Rattus norvegicus: one gene and its partners. The protein of the gene in region 1 interacts with the protein of each later gene in a pairwise test. Links are inferred from orthologs where the notes say so. Each region holds a gene or a part of one and is shown in the gene's direction. Other genes may lie near its edges. The genes, in order: Tpm3, Kxd1, Ikbip and Mad1l1.

What was found.
Region 2: the proteins of Tpm3 (region 1) and Kxd1 interact in binary tests that used the Homo sapiens proteins (3 or more experiments, as listed by UniProt). The two-hybrid records come from large-scale screens. The link is inferred for Rattus norvegicus from reciprocal best matches to the Homo sapiens genes TPM3 and KXD1.
Region 3: the proteins of Tpm3 (region 1) and Ikbip interact in a two-hybrid assay, tested with the Homo sapiens proteins (2 studies listed by BioGRID). The two-hybrid records come from large-scale screens. The link is inferred for Rattus norvegicus from reciprocal best matches to the Homo sapiens genes TPM3 and IKBIP.
Region 4: the proteins of Tpm3 (region 1) and Mad1l1 interact in binary tests that used the Homo sapiens proteins (3 or more experiments, as listed by UniProt). The two-hybrid records come from large-scale screens. The link is inferred for Rattus norvegicus from reciprocal best matches to the Homo sapiens genes TPM3 and MAD1L1.

Annotation. Positions count from the first base shown.
Region 1 is NC_086020.1:177,819,285-177,824,496, forward strand, and holds the start of Tpm3 (tropomyosin alpha-3 chain), read left to right. Parts: upstream 1-2,080; 5' UTR 2,081-2,140; coding exon 2,141-2,272; intron 2,273-4,775; exon of another isoform or gene 4,776-5,212. UniProt on the Homo sapiens protein: Binds to actin filaments in muscle and non-muscle cells. Plays a central role, in association with the troponin complex, in the calcium dependent regulation of vertebrate striated muscle contraction.
Region 2 is NC_086034.1:18,943,357-18,947,759, forward strand, and holds part of Kxd1 (kxDL motif-containing protein 1), read left to right. Parts: intron 1-572; coding exon of another isoform or gene 573-596; coding exon 597-697; intron 698-2,443; coding exon 2,444-2,596; intron 2,597-3,270; coding exon of another isoform or gene 3,271-3,481; exon of another isoform or gene 3,482-3,510; intron 3,511-3,748; coding exon of another isoform or gene 3,749-3,806; exon of another isoform or gene 3,807-3,932; intron 3,933-4,403.
Region 3 is NC_086025.1:27,473,265-27,477,676, forward strand, and holds part of Ikbip (inhibitor of nuclear factor kappa-B kinase-interacting protein), read left to right. Parts: intron 1-1,513; coding exon 1,514-1,631; intron 1,632-4,323; coding exon 4,324-4,412. UniProt on the Homo sapiens protein: Target of p53/TP53 with pro-apoptotic function.
Region 4 is NC_086030.1:19,432,867-19,437,994, forward strand, and holds the start of Mad1l1 (mitotic spindle assembly checkpoint protein MAD1), read left to right. Parts: upstream 1-1,915; 5' UTR 1,916-1,959; intron 1,960-2,010; exon of another isoform or gene 2,011-2,029; coding exon of another isoform or gene 2,030-2,166; intron 2,167-5,128. UniProt on the Homo sapiens protein: Component of the spindle-assembly checkpoint that prevents the onset of anaphase until all chromosomes are properly aligned at the metaphase plate.

The DNA of each region.
Region 1 (5,212 bases):
TCAGGGAGGTACGACAGTGCCACCTGCTGATCAGCACTCAGATGACAAAAATTCTCACCACAACTCTTCTGATGAGATTTTCTCAAAACAAGCTTGGGAAATACTTAGGCCATCAAAACAATTTTCATGCAGGTCAGAGCCTTGCCTTCTGTCTTAGTTCCTGGAGAGTTGGGCAGTAATCAATGTGTACAGGATACACTTCTGAGAAATTATTATTTGTCCAAGTTGTTTTTTCTGAATAGTCTCATTGTTCAAGAGTCTTTTTTTCCCCTCAAAAAGAAAGGAACATCCTGAGACCTAGAACCAGATACAAGGAGCACTAGTGTTTTGCTGAACCCAGAGATTCCACAGAGCTAAATCCCCAACCTCAAGTTAATATCCTTAGTTCTAAATCCTACTTCATATCCTATTTCTCAAGGGAAGGAAAGAGGTTTATCAAGGGAGGGATTTATCATGATTAATTACTGAGAAGGTGGTAGAAAGTCAGAGAAATAAAGGTACGATGTGAGAGTTCACACGTGAAATTTCAATTCTTAGGAAGTCGATAAAGAAGGGTCCAAAGGTTAGGACCAACCAGGGCTACAAAAATGAGTTGGAGGCCAGTCAGGACTACCTCAGATACAATCTCAAAAACCAAATATAAAACAAAGGAAGCAAAAACTAGAATAGCAGGAGCTGGAGAGATGGCTCAGCGGTTAAGAGCACTGTCTGTGCTCTTCCAGAGGTCCTGAGTTCAATTTCCAGCAAAGATAGGGTAGCTCACAACCATCTGTAATGTCATCTGATGCCCTCTTCTGGCATGGAGGTGCACCCACAGAGAGCTCACTCATACATAAATGAATGAATCAAAAAAAAAAAAAAAAAAACCTAGAGAAGCAAAGGGAAAACAAAATAAACCTCGTTATAGTTGTGCCTCCAGAAATCCTGACCAATAGGACCTGTAGAAGTAGTTTTGAACTCATATAATAGCTCCTTGGAGTACCTGAAAGCCAAAGTGAAACTAGTGGAAGTTACTACAATTCAGAGGTTAAATTCCACAGTAGTTTTCCATATACTTATATCTTTCTGTCGCACCAAGGATATGATGATAGAAGTGTAAATATCTTGTCTACAAAAGGAGTTGTACATGAATATTAAATTCCAAGTCCAAAATCATTTTAAGGGTAAAAGGGGGTGGTGGCAGGTTAACTGCTCATTCCTATGGACTCTCTTAAAAGCTTCAGGGGACAAAACTACTATTCAAACAAAACACCTCAGTTCAGAGCTGATCCTAATAGAATGCCAACTTGCCAATCTTTTCCATCTGGTAGTTCTGGTATCGACTTGCAGGGAATGGGAGAGAACTGTCTCAACAGTTTTTGGGGTTGTTTTGAGACAGAGTTTTATGTAGCTCAGACTAGTCTTGAATTCACCATGTAGCCAAGGATGACCTTGGATTTCTGCTCTTTCTGTGTCCACCCTCCACTATGACAGTTTAAGTGCTCCTGGAGATCCAGCCCAGAGCTAGTGATGCTGGGCTAGTGATCTACAATCTGAGCAATATCCACAGCCCCTCCTAATAGGTTTTCAAAGGAGCTCACTGCGACTCCTTGCAAGATGAAGGCTAGAGTCTTCTAGGCTTGTCTCAGAACCTTGTTTTGGAGTCTGTTGTAAACTGAGTAGAAAGGAAAGCATATGGGATACTTTATATTGCGGAGCGGACATAGTGGTAGGGAGGCACTGGATAAGAGAGGGGTCACCTGCGTAAGTGATCACGACAGCACCATTCTAGTAAATGGGACAGCCATTGTTGGGAGGTAGCCTGGTGGGTGAGGCTAGACTATGAAGCGCCTCTCAGTTACTATGGTAGCCTTACCAAACCCCGCCCCCCTTTACTGGTCTAAGGAAAGACCGCCCTGAGTGGTCGCCTAGGGTTACTGGGAGGCTCCACCCCTCACTTTCTGCCCGCTGCCCCTCGAGTGGACTGCGTTCCCGCCTGCTTGGCAGGGGGAGGACGCGCGGTGGTGGCGGCGTCACATCCGGGCGGGTGAGTGAGTTCCGGTATTTCAGGGCGGAGCAGGCGGAAGTAGGGTGAAAAGCGGCTACAACGCCGAGCGGAGGAGGTAGGAACCTGATTTCCAGAAGCAGCTGGGTAGGCACCATGGCCGGGAGCACCACCATCGAGGCGGTAAAGCGCAAGATCCAGGTTCTGCAGCAGCAGGCTGATGATGCGGAGGAGAGGGCCGAGCGCCTCCAGCGGGAAGTGGAGGGAGAAAGGCGGGCCCGGGAGCAGGTAAGCACGGAGAGTCGGGGCGTAGCAGGGAAGGGATCAGCACTCTGCTGTGCTCAGCTCCATGGAGCCCTGGAAGCCCTGACTGGTCGTGGAGCCCGAAGGTTGGGTGGGACTCGATTACGATGGCCCGGTAAGCGGCTGCGGAGGAAACTAAGTGCTTGCGCGAGCAGGCTAGATAGACCCTGGAAAAAATCGAGCTCCGCGCGGCGCGGGCTGCCCTCTCCCTTTTTCCCCCAGCTCATTCATTCAGTCCCTCGGAGCCGGGCGCGGCCAGGGGAGGGGCTCAGCGGTCTTTCCCTCCCCCACTTCTCTGAGAAGGGTGGGGACCTTTTACTCTCGCTAGAGGTTTCCGGTCTGAGGGGTAGAAGTTAGTGAGTGCTTCTCTGGTCCGGGAGGGGGCCGAGCCTAACCTGTGAAAAATGAGGGTGGGAGGTGGGAACCGCCGGAAAGCCCCCGACCTGGCCTACTGGCAGCTTTTCCGCTCCCTCCTCCTGCTCAGGAAATGAGCCAGCAGTTGGCTGAGAGGAAGCGCGGTTCCCTCCCTCACTGGCGGAGCTTAAGACCTCCCATCCTCGAACTTGGGGACCTTTTATAACTAACTGGCATTCCCGCCCCTCACTTGTGAAGTGGGAGAGGAGATGGTACTCCCCACGTTGTTAGCAAATGTCGGAGCCAGCAAACCTAGTAGGCCCTGCCCATCATGACCTGGAAGGCAGGAACTTCTGCCAGAAATGTGAGCAGTACAAATTTGACTTAGAACATTTCTCCTAAGCTGGCTGATAAGGGAGTGTATAGCAGAGAGTCAAATGCCACGCCAGTTTCAAGGTTCCTGACTGATTGGAACATTGGAGGATGGGAACAGATTAGTGAGTGGCACTGGTGATTTCGGGGGAAGCTGTTTTCTTAGCTATCTAGTGGGTTTTGTTCAACTGTGTTAGTGGTATGAATGGATTCCTGCTTAAGACCTAATGAAAAAGAACTCTTGTGGTTTACTGGCGTTCTTTATTGCTCTTGCTTTCTCTCTCTCTCTCTCTCTCTTTCTCCCTCTTTCTCTTTCTCTCTCTTTCTCTCTGCCTTTCTGCTGTTCATTTGAGGAGTAACGATATTTTTGAGGGGGCAAAAGGGGTAAGTGTGGAAAAGGAGAGCACAGCTCCCTTCCAAGTTAATGTTTAAACGTTATAAAAATTCTTTATAATGGGCATAGAGATGACAGAGCTTGTCTTCACATCACCCTAGGTGTCCAGTACGACTGTTTTGAGACAGGATGTCTCTTTGTATTCCCAGCAATCCTCCTGCCTAAGCTTCTCAAGTGCTGGAATTACTTTGGGAATTACTGTAGGCTTGCTTGGCCACTCCTGGCATGCCTGTAACTTCTCCTTATCAAGTCTAGTGAGATTGCTGTAGAGATGAGGAAGTCTCCAGAAAAGAAAAGAGAGTACAGTGGAAGGAATTAGCCGGGTGCAGCGGTGTTAGGCTGATGTCTAAATGTAGGTACCCTGGAGTAGTTTTAGGGTGTGTCTCTCTGTCCCAGAGTTTGGTCATTTTCCTTGCAGGTACATTTGGCGTTCCTTTCTTCTGCGTGATGACTCTGGGATGATAAGCCACCTGAGTGTTTTCACATGTTCAGGGCTTACCAAATGTGCTTATTTCACAGAAGCCTCCTGAGGAAGTCCTCAGAATGGGGAAGTAGGGTGGTAGTTAAATATTGATGAAACTAGTATCTTCTTTGTGAGCTTTTGACTTTTTGCACTCTCGAACTTTGAGCCTCTACTGAAGAGTCAGAGGAGGAAGGGAGATGCTTGAGTCACCTCTTTCTTGTAGGGCTGCTGTGGAATGTGGGTTTTGTAGGGTCCTCCTGCCACACTACCTGGTGGAAATCCTATGTCGTATTAGTATAGACTGTCTTGTTGCACTCTGTATGGGGATCCAAGCTGCCTTTGTTAAACTAGACATGGCCAAAGCTGGGCGGCAAGTTCTGAGGGCAGCCAGGCCTTTTATAACATAGCTCCCCGTGAAGGTTTACTTTCAGTTTTGAATTTCCTTTGTGTTTGATAAGAGTGTTTTCTTGTTTTGGGTCTTAAGTGGTGTTGGGATCAGACCTAGGGCCTTATGTTAAGACAAACTTTCTCAACCTCTCGACTACACTGTCTTGTCGAAACTTCAACAGGTAACAGTGTAAAATTCAATGCGCTTATTGTTAGTGATAAAAAGATGCATGTATAACATGAGAACTTACCTGCACAGGCTGGCCCTTCAACTGTTGGACTCAAGTGAGCCTTCTGCATTGCCTCTGGAATAGTCTCCTCCCGTGTTCAACTGCCGTGCCTGTGTCTCCACTGTGACCTTTCTTATTACTAATTTTATTCATATATGTGTGTGTGGGTGTCTGACCCCCTTGAGCTGGAGTTGCAGGTAGTTGTGGATGCACCTCCCCCCCCCCCCCCCAGGCAAAGTGGGAGCCAAAGTCTACAAAGAGCAGCTCTACCTTCTGAGCCATCTCTCTGGCCCCATTGTTAGCATTTTTAAGTGAGTGGTTCATCTTACCCTTTAAAAACTAGTTCTCTCTCTCTCCACGTTTTCTATGGTATTTTTGACTTTTCCTTTGGTTGTGCTCCAAAACCGAAGTACCACCGAGAGGAGAGTGGGCGTTGAACAGAAGTTCCTAACTTTGATCCTAAATTCTTGGTCTGGGAAGGGGCCCAGGATGCTTGGGTGTGTGTGTCTGGTGGACACATGAGCACTGTGACCTCTCCTCCTGTTAGAGGTTTGGGTTGGTTTGGCTGCTGGTTGCCTTTCTCTGCCCCCTATTTTAGAGCACACTCCTCCAGGAGAGGCAAACAGCCCTTTGCTCTTAAGTGCCTCTGCCTAGACTCCACCTCTGTTGACTCTGAGGGGCGGATAGCTCCAATCCCCAGCCTCCCTCCCCCTTGGTAAAATTTC
Region 2 (4,403 bases), on another chromosome or scaffold:
AGGCAGACCTTGGAAGCTGGTGGAAGAACGGACCTGCAGAGGTGCCACAGACTACTTGCTGTAGTGGAAGAGAACCTGAGTTCTGTGTGGTGTCTATGGCCACCTGTAGCTAGCCCAGGGTGTCTGACCTCCTAGGCTCTGTATCTGGAAGGAAAAGCAGTCTCTATAGTTGTCCTCTATCATGTGAGCACTGTAGCACCTGGGCGTGTTCCATGGAAAATACTGACCTGAAGCTAGAAGGGCACACAGGAGAAGTGGCTGGCAGCCTTGCAGAATCATGTGGACAGTGAAAGGAGGGACGGCATTTTCAGCTGTGTCTGTGGAGAGCTCTGAGCTATGCAAGGTGGCAGAGTGAAGAGCTCACCCTTTAGCCCTGGTTCATCCTCCTGCGTCAGCTTCCCAAATGCTGGAATCAAGTGTGCTGCCTTTACAGCCTTCCAGGATTATGTTCTCTAAGAACAAGTCTCTGTCAGGCCCCCAAACAGCCCACGATTTCAGCTGGAGGATATGACGGGCTCTTGATATCCTCACCTATCTAGTGCTGAGCTCACATTCTGTTCCGGTCATTTCAGGCTTCAGGGGTTAAGGAGAAAGAGATGGACACCCCAGACTCAGCCTCAAGGGTCTTCTGTGGCCGCTTCCTCAGCATGGTGAACACTGATGACGTCAACGCCATAATTCTGGCCCAGAAGAACATGTGAGCAGGCCATGGGAGGCATGGGAAGGATCATACCATTTTCCCCAAACCCTGCCCAGAGACGTAACAGAATAAAGAAAACAAGCCCCTAGTTCCCAGCCTTGGCACAGGATCGGATTGCAGCTGTGTGGGAAAGGCCCAAGCAGTTCCTGTCCCCAGGCCAAGGCTGGGAGGGCTGAAGGGATAGGGGTCTCAGGAACTTCTGGGCTGGCTTTTGGCATTGGTACCGAGTGCCCGATCTGGGTCTGCAGGGAGCCTGCTTCAGGATGCTTTGCTCCCTCGCTGGGACAGCCTACCTTGAATTCAGATTGACTGTTGCCAAGCATGTAGATGCTCCCAGCTCTGTTTGTGACACAGCCTGCAGCCAGAGGCAGTGTCTTGTGGGGTTCTTTACCTTGGGTTATTTACTTAGTTATGTTTTGTTGTTGCGTTGGGGTTTGTTTGTTTGTTTGTTTGTTTTTAGGTTTTGCCACCATGCCCAGGACTTATCCTGGTTCTTCAGGTTAGGTTCAGATATGTCCACGTAAACTCCCAGACTAACAGTGACAAAACTCCCAGACTAACAGTGACAAAATCAAATGGGAACTGTCCTGGCCTTTGGGACTGACTTGGGGTTTACACAGTGTAACAAGGAGCAGTCAGCTTGAGGATTGAGTGATTCTGAGAAAGGACATCAACTTCCTATTGATGTGACAAAATGCAGGAGGTGGTACCTAACAGAGAAAGGCTTTCTGGCTTAGATTTCTGTCCATCTTTTTTTTTTTTTTCGGAGCTGGGGACCGAACCCAGGGCCTTGCGCTTTCTAGGCAAGCGCTCTACCACTGAGCTAAATCCCCAACCCTCTGTCCATCTTTTGAAGCTGTTTGTAGCCAAGAAGCCAAGAAAGAAATGGGGGGAGAGGTTGGGTTCCCAAGATCCTCTTCATTGTGTACCCCAATGTTCCACCCCTTCTCCCCCAATATCATACACATTTTCAGAATATTGGTCTGGGGAAACATTTAAAAACTAAACCTTGGGGGCTGGGGATTTAGCTCAGTGGTAGAGCGCTTACCTAGGAAGCGCAAGGCCCTGGGTTCGGTCCCCAGCTCCAAAAAAAAAAAACTAAACCTTGAAAAGAAAAAAACATGTGCTGAGAGATGTAAAGTGGCTACGAGTACTAGCTGCTCTTAAGGGGGGTTCCCAGCACCCACATGGCAGCTCCCTACTGTAGCTCATGTTCCAGGGGACACACCTTCTGACCTTCGTAGGCTGTGTGTGCACATGCTCCATGCACATGCTCCACAGAGGCACAGAGGCAGAGCACATAATAGAACATCAGTATGGCCCTGGTGTGGCAGGCAGCGCACACCTTTAACTCCTTCCTGAGCTCCAAGCCAGTCAAGGCTACAGACACTGTCTCAAAAATGCCAGCTTCATGCCTGGACATAGTGCACACGCCTGTAATTGCTGTACTTCTCTAGAGGCAGTTCAAGGTCAGTTTAGAACATAAGAGTAGGTCCCAGGCAGGGCAACATCCTGTCAGAGGACTAATGCCCACTAAAGAACTCCATGAAATATGTAGGCTGCAACAAAGAGTGCCTTTGAATAGGGCTTTCAACTGTGAGTAGGAGTTGGGCGACCAGAACAGCAGACAGAATTCCTCAGGCCTTGACTCTGTAATTAAATGCAGAGGCTATGACTCAGGGATTAGCTCAGGCTGAGGGAGTTCCTAGGCCTGATGCAAAGGCCCTGGCCCTCTCCCCCTAGGCTGGACCGCTTCGAGAAAACCAACGAGATGCTTCTGAACTTCAACAATCTGTCCAGCGTGCGGCTGCAGCAGATGAGCGAGCGCTTCATGCACCACACCCGCACCTTGGTGGACATGAAACGGGACCTGGACAGCATCTTCCGCAGGATCAGGTGGCCCCCTCCCCCCAGAGCTCTTCTGTGGTCTCACAGCCAGATGCTTCCTCAGCACATCTTCCCCAAACCACTGTTCTCAATCCCCCACTCTTGGCCCTTTCTGTCACCAACTCTTTAGATGTCCAGCGCCTTCACTCTGAAGCTCTTCCTAGTACCTCCAAGACCCTACCCCAGGGCCCTTTGCTCACCTCTGCCTCCTTAGTCCCTTAAGTCCTTGCTCCACCCTCTCCCCTCTCCCTCCCCTCCGAGGCCTCCTCTTCTCTTCACTAGCTCTGCCCTCTGTCTTCTTCAGTCTAGGGAATTATGGATGTTTAACAAGACAGATCTGACCTCTGAGGGAGTGATATGGAAGTGAATCTCTTCCCACCCCTTCTTTTTTTTGTGTGTAGCCTTTGTGTTCTGGAACTCCCTCTGTAGACCAGGCTGGCCTTAAACTCAGAGATCCATCTGCCTCTGCTTCCTGAATGCTGGGATTGAAGCTTGGGTGTTTAATCACCCAGTTGTGACTTTCCCTTTTACTTGGAACCTGTGCTACATAGTTGGGACCCTATACGAGTCAGGAGGCGGGTAGACAGGCCGGGCCCTCCACTTCTGGCTGACTGGCCAGCAGAGAACCGGGGCCCCGTGTCCATCCTGGATATAGGTAGGGTTTGGTTTGGGTCTTCCCACAGTGGTGCTCGCTCCTGGACCATGATATCCACGTCTTTGGCACTCAGCATGGTCCTTCAGGTGTACTCCACAGCCTCACCCACCACTGTGGCAGACACACCAGCAGCCAGCTGCCCAGACCAGAACAGCCAAGACCACGGGATCCAGATCACACGTGTGCCCTATCCTCTAGCCCAAGGCTGTGTGGCCTGGGGACCTAAGGGAACAAAGTAAACTCTACCCAGAAGTCTTGAGATGCTCTATACCAGTCTATTTAATGTTTTTATTGGTGCTGTTTTGCTTTGTTTTTGAGGCAAGGTCTCAATTGCTGTCCTGAAACTCACAAAGATCCACCTGCCTCTGCCTCCCTGGTACCAAGGTGCTCTGCTGCCCTTGTCTGCTAGTTTTTCTAGCCCCGAATGCCAGGCTGACTCGACATGTAGTTTGGGGAATAGGTAGCTCTTTGAGCCCCAAGAGTAAATACAGCAGCATGTGTCCTAGATCCCCAGAAAGGAGACAAGAGTCCAGTGTGTCAAGTGCTGAGCCTCACAAGTGCTGAGTCATTGTGTGACTGCCACACTGGCTGCTGTCAGTGTATGGGCTGACTCTCTGAAGACCCTTCTTTAGCCCGTCAGGCCTGGAGTGCAGGACTTCAGGGCAGAGCAACCAGAAGCCAGTTCATAAGGTAATAAAGCCAACTGGGGGTGGTGATTCTGTACCAGAGCTTGAGATAGGAGGGACTTGATTTCCAGGTCAGTGGCAGCTCTGTGGTGACTTCAAGGCCAACCTGAAGTCAAAAAGGGGCCTGAGGAGGAGGCTCTGCTCAGCACATACATAAGTTTGGCACACTGGCTGTGGAGAAGCCTCAGTGGTTGAGAGTGTGTATGGCTCTTGCAAAGGACATTAGTTTAGTTCCCGCCACCCAGGGCAGATAGCTCACAGCTGCCTTTGATTCCTGCTCCAGAGAATTGGAGTCAGCCTTGGGCACCTGCACAAGTGCATAACCACACACACACACAAAAGACAAGATGAAAAAAATTTTAATTTTTGTTTAATGTGTGTTTACTGCATATACATCTTCAGGCCAGAGTAGGGCATCAGATACCTTCGTAGATGGTTGTGGGCCACCATGTGGTTGCTGGGAATTGAACTCAGG
Region 3 (4,412 bases), on another chromosome or scaffold:
GAGGGGCCTCTCGCCTCTCTACGAAGCTTTGGAGTCCTTCGTCTTCTCTGAGAAAGTATAAGATATGATCAATGAGGGAAGCTCAGCTCGCCTGCAGAGTCAGACGACCTGGGAAGCTATTAGAATATCCAATATCCGAGCCATATCCATGACTAACTAAATAGGAGTCTCTGTCATTGAGACCCCAGGCATGGATGTGTTAGCGCTGTCTGGTGACTGGTTCCAATGCTTAGGGAAGATTTGCAGTCACTAATCTGGATCCTATGACTTAGGGACCTCTCATGATTCTGCTCCGTTGCTTTCTGATGGCTCAGTGCACAAAACATGTGGAACCCAGAGAACTGACTTACTGTAGATAAACAACATGTTATTAAACCTAAGATTTCTTCTGTGCCTACTCATTTCAAATCTTCTCCAAAGATATGTTTATTTATTATCCCGAAGATTGGATAAGGGGGTCTGGCTAACTCATTCAATAAAACAACAGATTATTTTTTTTCTTTAAAGATTTATTTATTTATTTTATGTATGTGAGTACCCTGTAGCTGTCTTCAGACACACCAGAAGAGGGCATCAGATCCCATTACAGATGGTTGTGAGCCACCATGTGGTTGCTGGGAATTGAACTCAGGACCTCTGGAAGAGCAGTCAGTGCTCTTAACCGCTGAGCCATCTCTCTAGCCAAGGTTAGCTTCTTTTTTTTTTTTTTTTTTTTTTTTTTGGTTCTTTTTTTTTCGGAGCTGGGGACCGAACCCAGGGCCTTGCGCTTCCTAGGTAAGCGCTCTACCACTGAGCTAAATCCCCAGCCCCCAAGGTTAGCTTCTTATGTGGGTGCTAAGGAGCACACTCATGCTTACATGGCTATCGCATTATCAACTGAGCCATCGCCCTACACCCTAAGCCCCCATTTCACAATGACATCTACACCATACCTACGAGTATACTGCTGAGTACAGTCAAATAGAGTTGTCACACCCTGCTTTGCGTAGGGCAATGGCTGTCTGTATTTCTGTCTCTTCTTCCTCTTTCTTTCTGAGTCAGTCTCCTGCAGCTCCAGTTGGCCTTCAAGCCTCCGACTCACTGTGCGATAATGGAGGATAACATGACCTAGAACCTATAGAACCTCCCTGAATAATTACAATTATAAGCACTCATACCGTAGTTTGGACAATAGTTTGGGCGATGATAGCTTGGTATGCTGGGTATTGAACTACTGGCCTATATCCTCAGAAGAGATCAAAGTTTTTATTCCAAATAGTTCAACCCTGGATTCTTCCAAAATATTTCTTTTTCTTACATCTGTGAGGGATGCTCCTCGGCCTCCCTCCCTGAGCCAGGAGCTCTGAAGAGAGGCGGTGTTGACTCATCTTTGCATTGAGCTAATGCAGTCACCTCCCACACAGCAGGCCACCTGGATGGTGAAGTCATCTGACTAATTCTGCCGCAGCTATCCGGGGACTACATATTGTTCTCACCAGGAGTGAGTGATAGTCATGAAGTTTTTCTTTTCCAGGCTTGTATTTCAACAGTCAGAAAAGTTTGCGAAGGTCGAAAACCAGTACCGGTTACTGCAAACAGAGAGCAGCGAGTTTCAAGGACTCCAGAGTAAAATCAGCTTAATTTCCAACAAGGTAATGTATTCATTAATTTGTGTGGTAGAGATACTCCCCTTGCTACGAATACCATTCTCCTACTTCAGGTCAAAGCGTCTTTCTTCTGCCTTCAAACTATTACTATTTTAACTCCTAAGTGGACTTTCTCCTCTCGGCATCCTCCCTGTGATCCGAGTTAGTTCCCAGGAAGTGTTGAAAGGATGGTTGTTGCTCCAGCTGGCCATGATATTGACGCCTTCAATTCCAGCACTCTGTAGACTGAGGCAGGCAAATCTCTGAGCTCAACGCTGGCCTGGACTACAAAGCAAATTCCAGACCAGCCAGGGCTAAACAAAACAACGAAGGCATGCTTGATCTTTAGATATAAAGTTAGAACATGGGACCAGCCAGATGGCGTAGTGGGTAAAGCTCTTGTTGCCAAGATGAATGTATTCAGCTCCATCCAGTCCTCACCCAAACCTAACACTATCACTAGTTAGTTACAAGTGCTTCTCTGAACTTCTGTTTAGATGAACTTCTAACTGTGGTGTGGCTGCATGCGTGAATTAAAATGGCTTCTGGACATTTCTAAGTGGTCTTCTTTTATTACCTAGTTCTGTTATACACGTGCCATCTAACACCCGGATAGCACTGTTTCGCCTACTAGATAGATCCTTCGTTCAGATGGTCCCAGAAAGCAGTTGGCATACTGAATCCCCTCAGGGGTTTTCTGCATCTCCCTTACATCAGATACTGCCCATATCCATCAAGACGTGTGTTCCGGGAGCTGGAAAGGTGGCTCAATGGTTAAGAGTACTGGCGCCTATCAGAGGACCCAGGTTCAGTTCCCAGTACCCACATGGTTGTTCACTACCATCCCTAACTGCAGTTGCAGGAGATCCCAAGCCTTGTTCTGATGACTGTAGCACTACATACATGTGGTACACATACATTCATACACAGAACTTTTACGATTTCTAAATGTTAAAAAAAGAAGAAGAAGAAGAAAGAAAGAAAGAAATGTGTTCCGGAAACTCTTGATATTTTGGGACAAAAGCCACCACAACAAAACCGGAAGGAATGGAGACCCTCAGCTCCTCACCGTGCCTTAATCCATCTGTTGAGGCGATTTCAGTCACATTAGGCTTCCCCACTTTACTCTCCTGCCTTACCTCTCCTCTGAGCTTTCACTGTGCCCTGTGTTGAGTCCGTCATCACACTAATGTCACCAGTTACTAATTTGTTGTCCCCCACACTTCCCTTTGGAACAAACACGCATCTTCTCTCTGTGTCTCTCTAACACCTAGACACGAAGCTAGCTCATCGGGGATGAGCAGTAACTCTTATCAGGACCCTGGAGTGTTGGATACAGAAGAGTCAAAGCATTTTCTGCTCCATCGAGTTGATATTGTTAAAGATTTATTTATTTATTTATTTATTTATTTATTTATTTATTTATTATATATAAATACACTGTAGCTGTCTTTAGACACACCAGAAGAGGGCATCAGATCCGATTACAGATGGTTGTGAGCCACCATGTGGTTGCTGGGAATTGAACTCAGGACCTCTAGGAAGAACAGTCAGTGCTCTTAACCGCTGAGCCATTATCTCACCAGCCCCAAATTGGTATTTTTATAACTGGCATCTTGCACAAGGTCTGAGCACTTAAGGAACTACATGTAGCAACTAATAATATAACTGCAGGATGTCCTGACCTGACTAAGGCTATGGACTTGTCTTACAAGTATCAGGAATCATCTCAGGTTTTTTAATGGTGTTGCGTGACATGCTTGGCAGTTTTCAAAGCCTTAATATGGTAAGTAGTGGGTAAGGTGGTTTAGAAAGGACGGGATTATTAGATGGTGCTTCTGAAGGAATTTACTTGGTCCCTGAAGTCCAGGTCAGGGCTCCGCTAAGTGCTTGCATGTGTCCCCCTTGTTCGAGTGCCTGCAAATTGCTTCCTACGTAAACCACTGAAGGGCAGAGCTGTGACTTGTTCAGTGTCCTGTCACAGAACAGTGCTGCAAACACTTCATAGCTTATTAAGCTAGGTTCTCGCTAAAGCTTGTATCATGTGAGGATGGAAACTAGGTAAGTCCCTGGCCCTTCCAAATATCCCAGGCCCGTTCTAAGAGGCCCTAGAGGCACATCCTGATTTACAGACAGACGTTCTGCCATTTGATGGTATGTGTCTCAACTATTTTTATAAAAGTTCATTCTTGCCCTTTTTACAACCCAATTCTAGTCCTTCCTCTGTAAGAGGTTAGCAAAAAGAGTGGTAAGGATTCAACCAGAAACTTTCAAAGTCATAGGATTTAGGGAGGTGGCGAAGTCTACATTGTTACACTTTCCCAAGCCAAATAGCCATAAAAATGACATCTACTTACTTTCAATGTTTTGAAAAAAAGAACTGCAATAGACTTCAAAAAATTTGACATCATTTATTTTGACTATGCATGCCCTCGTGAAAGAGATCTGTTAAATAACTAGGGTTATGAGTTCAGGTATACATTCTTCTAACAGTTGGTTTATAAATCTGTCATCTATTAAATTTGTTTAAGCTATTTAATAATAAATGTTTCTGTCAATGTGATTCAGATGTGCTTAGATCTTTTAGGCACCTTCAGAATTTGAACCTTGTATATGACATGCTCTTGATTGCTGAAGTATGTTTCTCTAATATAAAAGTATTAAGTAGCTCAGGGATTGTTTTGTGTTATAAATACAGCTTGAGTCTACTGAAAATACCCTGCAGGAAGCTACATCATCCATGTCTTTGATGACCCAGTTTGAACAGGAAGTAGCTGGCCTCCAAAG
Region 4 (5,128 bases), on another chromosome or scaffold:
ACCGTGTGGTTGCTGGGAATTGAACTCGGGACCTCTGGAAGAGCAGTCAGTGCTCTTAACCGCGGAGCCATCTCTCCAGCCCTCGGCCCTTTGCTTCAATAGTCTGATAACCAAAGGGCCAGTTGAGGAGCAGGGCTGTTTCAGGACACTCAGAAGGCTGATGGGTTGCTGTGAGGTCCAGGCCAACCTGGGGTACAGGGTAAGATTCTGTTTCTCAGCTTGACCCCAAAATACAACATTCATCTCAAAACGGATGCAAGAATCTTTTGTGTTTATTTATTTTTGAAAGATTTATTATTTTATATATAATGAGGAAACCGTTGCTGTCTTCAGACACACCAGACACATTACAGACAGATTACACATAGTTGTGAGCCACCATGTAGTTGTGGGAAATTGAACTCAGGACCTCTGGGAGAGCAGTCAATGCTCTTCACGGTTTAGCCATCTCTCCAGCCCAATGTTTTTACTTTTTGGTTTTTCCAGGTAGAGTTTCTCTGTGTAGCTCTGGGTGTCCTGGAACTTCCTTTGTAGTCCAGGCTGGCCTTGAACTCACAGAGAAACTCCTGCCTCTGCCTCCAGAGTGCTGGGATTAGACACATGTGCCACTACCACCGAGATGGACAGGTCGTTTATTCTTGAGCCAAATGTCCCAGAAACACAGACTTAAAATTAAGTTACCCCAAATTCCATGTTCCAGTCTGGAAGCAGTGAGGAAATTTTTATAGTAACAGAATAAAGAAAGTCATGAATCAAGGCACTTTAAAAATACATTGGTGGGGGACAGGCGGCGCATTACTTTATTCTCAGCAGTTGGGGGTGGGGTGCAAAGGCAGGTGGAGGCAGCCTTGAGGCACACAGAGAAACCCTGCCTTTAAAAACCCAAACCAGACAAATCAAAACAAAACGAAACAAACAACAACAAAAACCAAAGCAAACAAAATCTTTCTTGGTGGTGGGGCGGAGAAATGGCTCGGGTTAAGATCATTGGTTGCTCTTCGAGAGACCCCAGATTCAATGCTCAGCGCATACATCTTGGCGCATAGACATCTAACTCCCATTTCAGAGGATCTGTTGTCCTCATCTGGTCTCTATGGGCATCATGTATGCACACAAAACACCCATAAAATAATAAAACATGAAAACAAATAGACTAGTGGAAGATTTAAGTAGGCAGTTATAGCAAAGCAGAGAAATAGCAGCTATATGCTTCTCATGCAGTTCGTGGGCTTTTGGTTGGTAGAAACTGGGTTTTAATGTATTCCAAGAGGTTTTTATCCATAAGTCACAACACGTTAGAGCTGACACAGAGGCGGGTAAGCAATGGGTATGACGGGGGTTAAAGATAGAGCCCAAGACAAATTACAACAGGCTCTGGACCGGCAACGTTACCGAAGGCAACCAGCCAATCCGCCTTTACAGTCACAATTTCTTCCCAGGAATTCTCATTTACAAAGGAAAGAAAATGAAACAAGCTAACCAATCAAAACACCGCCCCAAACAAAACAACCTGTGTATACATACACAGTGGCAAGATTCAGAGAAAAATCAACTTTCCAAAGCTATGTTTACTTTCCATGCCCAGCAGTTGTGGTGCAAGCCTTTTAATTCCATCCAGCACTAGGAAGATCTTTGTGAGTTAGAGGCTACACAGAGAAACACTGACACAAAAGCAAAACAAACGTTCCCTCCCAAGCAGTGCTACTCCACACATTACGGCGCACTGGGTGGCGTTCGAAGAGCGCCCTGAGGGACAGGCACCCTGGCTCAGTGTGGTTTCCAGCCCCTTGGCAGGACAGCAGTTGTTCTCAGGACACGCCTGTGGCGCGCATATTTGATTCTTTACGGGCCGTTTTCTCAGATCTCGCGAGACCCTCGCGGAAGTCTCGCGATACATAGGCACCGGCGGAGAGGAGGGAGATCTGAGCCGCTGCTGCAGCACTCGGCTCCTCAACTCGGGTAAGTGGCCGAGTGGTCGGGTCTGCGAGTTCCCCAGGCGCTGCGCGCGCTGCCCGACCGTACCGACGCCATGGGAAGGAGCTGTCCGCTGCCTTCCGGCATGCACACAGTCCGAGTCGATCCTGTCGCGCGACTTCCCTTTGCGGGGTCTTCCGTGTCGTGCTCCCGGGGCCGCTGTGGACCCCCGTGTCCCGTTGCAGGGCGCGGGTAGGCGTGCCTGGACCGGAACCGGGGCGGAGGGGACCGAGTGGTCTGCTGTGGGCTGAAGGGCTCCCGGGGTTGGAGTCAGTTACCTTGTAGATCCCAGGGATCGAACTCAGATTGACAGTCTTGGTGGCAAGCCCTCGTAAGCGCTGAGTCGTATGTCAAGCCCTCTCTGTCTCTGTCTCTCTGTCTCTCTGTCTCTCGTCTCTCTCTGTGTCTCTTTCTGTCTCTCTGTGTGTATGTGTGTGCCTGTTTTTGGCAGTACTGTTGATTGAACCTCGGACCTTATGCACTCCATCACTAAACTATGTCCCCATCCCTTTTAAAAGTTAATTGATTGGCTGTGTGTGTGTGTCTGTCTGCCTGCCTGCCTGTCTGTCAGTCTGTCTGTCTGCCTGATTTTGGCAGTACTGTTGATTGACCTAGGACCTTATGCACTCTACCACTGAACTATGTCCACAGCTCTTTTAAAAATAAATGGACGGGCTAATTAATTAATTAGCAAATTAATTAATTAATTAATTGTGTGTGTGTTTGCCGGTGTATACCAGGCTACCGGTGGAGGGAGGTTAACTTAGTTCTCTTCTTCCTCTGTATGGATCCTAGAGATGGAACCTTGCTTGTCTGTCTAGCCCTAAAGTGCATTGCAGATTGAGCTGTTTTTTGGGCCCCCTTCTTCCCCCGCAGTTCATAGGATTGAGCCTAGGGCTTCATGCATGCTAAGCAGTTACCGACTCTGCTGCCTCCTCAGCCCGATTCTTACTTTTTCCTCTTAATTTTTATTCTGTGACGGGACTTCCCAAGTGTTCCAGGCTGGCCTTGAACTTGCAACCAGCCTTTGAATTTGTCTCAGCCTTCTGAGTACCTGGGATGACAAGCCTGTGTCACCAATTGCCAGGTTTTTAGGCTGTGCCTTGGCTGAGACCAGAAAGAAGGTGTGTGCATACCTGTTAAGTCAGAAGCCATCCAGGGCAGCTGGTGTTCTGGAAGGTCTGTTGCCTGGAAGTTCAGGGTTCCTGTAGAGAGGGTACAGTTTGAGGTGACGATTTAGTTACCTGTGTGGCTTCTGAAATGGTTCTTGTGTCTGTGGCTGAGTTCTTGTCCTGGAGAGGGAGGACAGAAAGTGTGACTTTTCCTTCGATCTTTGAGAACAGAGGTCTACTTCTTCCCACTGCGTCTGTTCTCCATCTGGTGACCAGCTCTTGCTTTGTTGTGTGTGTATTTGGGGTGTACACTAAGGTTCTTGTTAAGTGAAAAATTCAGAAGAAATTTCTGCAAAGTAACCCTCCCCCGGCCCTTTTGAGATTGGGTCTAGCTGTATTCTTAGGTCTCTGTGTAACCCAGGCTGGCCTGCAACATGTGATCTTGCCTCAGCCCTCATATACATTCCTTTTTTCTTCAGGACCTTTCTCCAATTGAGAAATGCTTGGGCTTCTTTGCCACTGACCCTCTCCCCCACTGCAAGGAATGCCAACACCTTACCTGGTCCTTCAGTCTCACCTGGCATGACATATATGGCAGTCTCTCCATTCTGTCCTGAGAAGATTGTGAAGGAGTTTAGACAGCTACAGAGGCACATGCAGATTCCTTCCACACTAAGGACAGGGACCACAATCCATTGGTTCACTCACTATCCCATGGGCTGACTCTAATTGGAAGTACTAGGACAGCTCAGGTGACCCCCTAAAGAAAGGTTATGTGATTACTTGGCTTGATAGAAGACTGAAGAGGGTCTTCTGCCCCCATCACCATCGTGACTTCCAGGGCAATATTGTCCGTTGCTGGCAAGTCTGTTTTGTTCTCATTGCATTAAGGGTCTACTTATTCAGACTTATCAGAATATTCTAGACCTGCCCTAGTGTCTGTTCTAGGGGGACCAGGCAGTCGTTTGGAGGAGCACCGAGAGTGAGTTAAAGGCTAAAATGTTGCCTAGTCCTGGATCTTTCTGCTTTTGTTGTGAGGGTACTCTATAGACCCCATTCTTAAAAAGGTGCTCGTGTCTGAATTCCAGGGTGTCAGGTGTCACAGTGTGGGATCAGCTCTTTCCTCCTCCTTGTGGGTCATGGGGCTCAAACACAGGTCCATAGGCTTCATGGGAAGCATCTTTAACCACTAAGCTGTTTCCCCAGCCCTACACCAGGTAACTCACAGACATTAAAGTTACAGACATCCCACAGTGATTCCATTATCCCAAATGGAGAAGAGCATCCAGCCAGGGCCACAAAGTTGCAGCCATGTCCTCTGGCCTTACAGGGCTTAGTTCTCTCTGCCTGACTAGATGCCATCTGTCACTGCTTGCCACTCGAGAATCTTGGTATAAGAGGTTGTCTGCATTCTCTCCAGTTTTTCATTTTTCTAGCTCCTGGCTTCAGTCTGACAGTGGGATACTGCTGGTTGTCCTTACCCAGGTCTCTTGTAAGAGCCCTGTTCTCCCTTTGCTTGGACTCCATGCCCATGGGAGTGCAACACTCCTGCCAGTACAGCCCCTGTGTGATCCGAATCAGTACCTAAATCTCCTCCTTCCCTGGTCCATCCCAGTCACCGATCTGAAAAGAGCTCTTCTCTGTCCCCTGGCTATTCTTTCAGAAAGCCCGGGGTGAGCTGTTGTTGCCTCTTCTGGCTATTAGGCACCTTTCATGCAGGCCCAGCCTTGTCCTCTCCCCTGCTGGGGTGGGAGTGAACATTTCTTTTCTTTCTTTTTTTTTTTTTTTGTAGTTCTTTTTTTTAGGAGCTGGGGACTGAACCCAGGGCCTTGCGCTTCCTAGGTAAGCACTCTACCACTGAGCTAAATCCCCAGCCCCGGGAGTGGACATTTCTATCCAGACTCTTCTCACTTCTTGGGCTTCTTTTCTTGGGAATATCTTCTCTGATGCAGGATATTTGATCACACTGTGTTATTTACTGGAAAAAACCTGTTTCTAGTTGTGGTATGGCTCAGCTCTAGCACACATCTTTAATCCAAGAG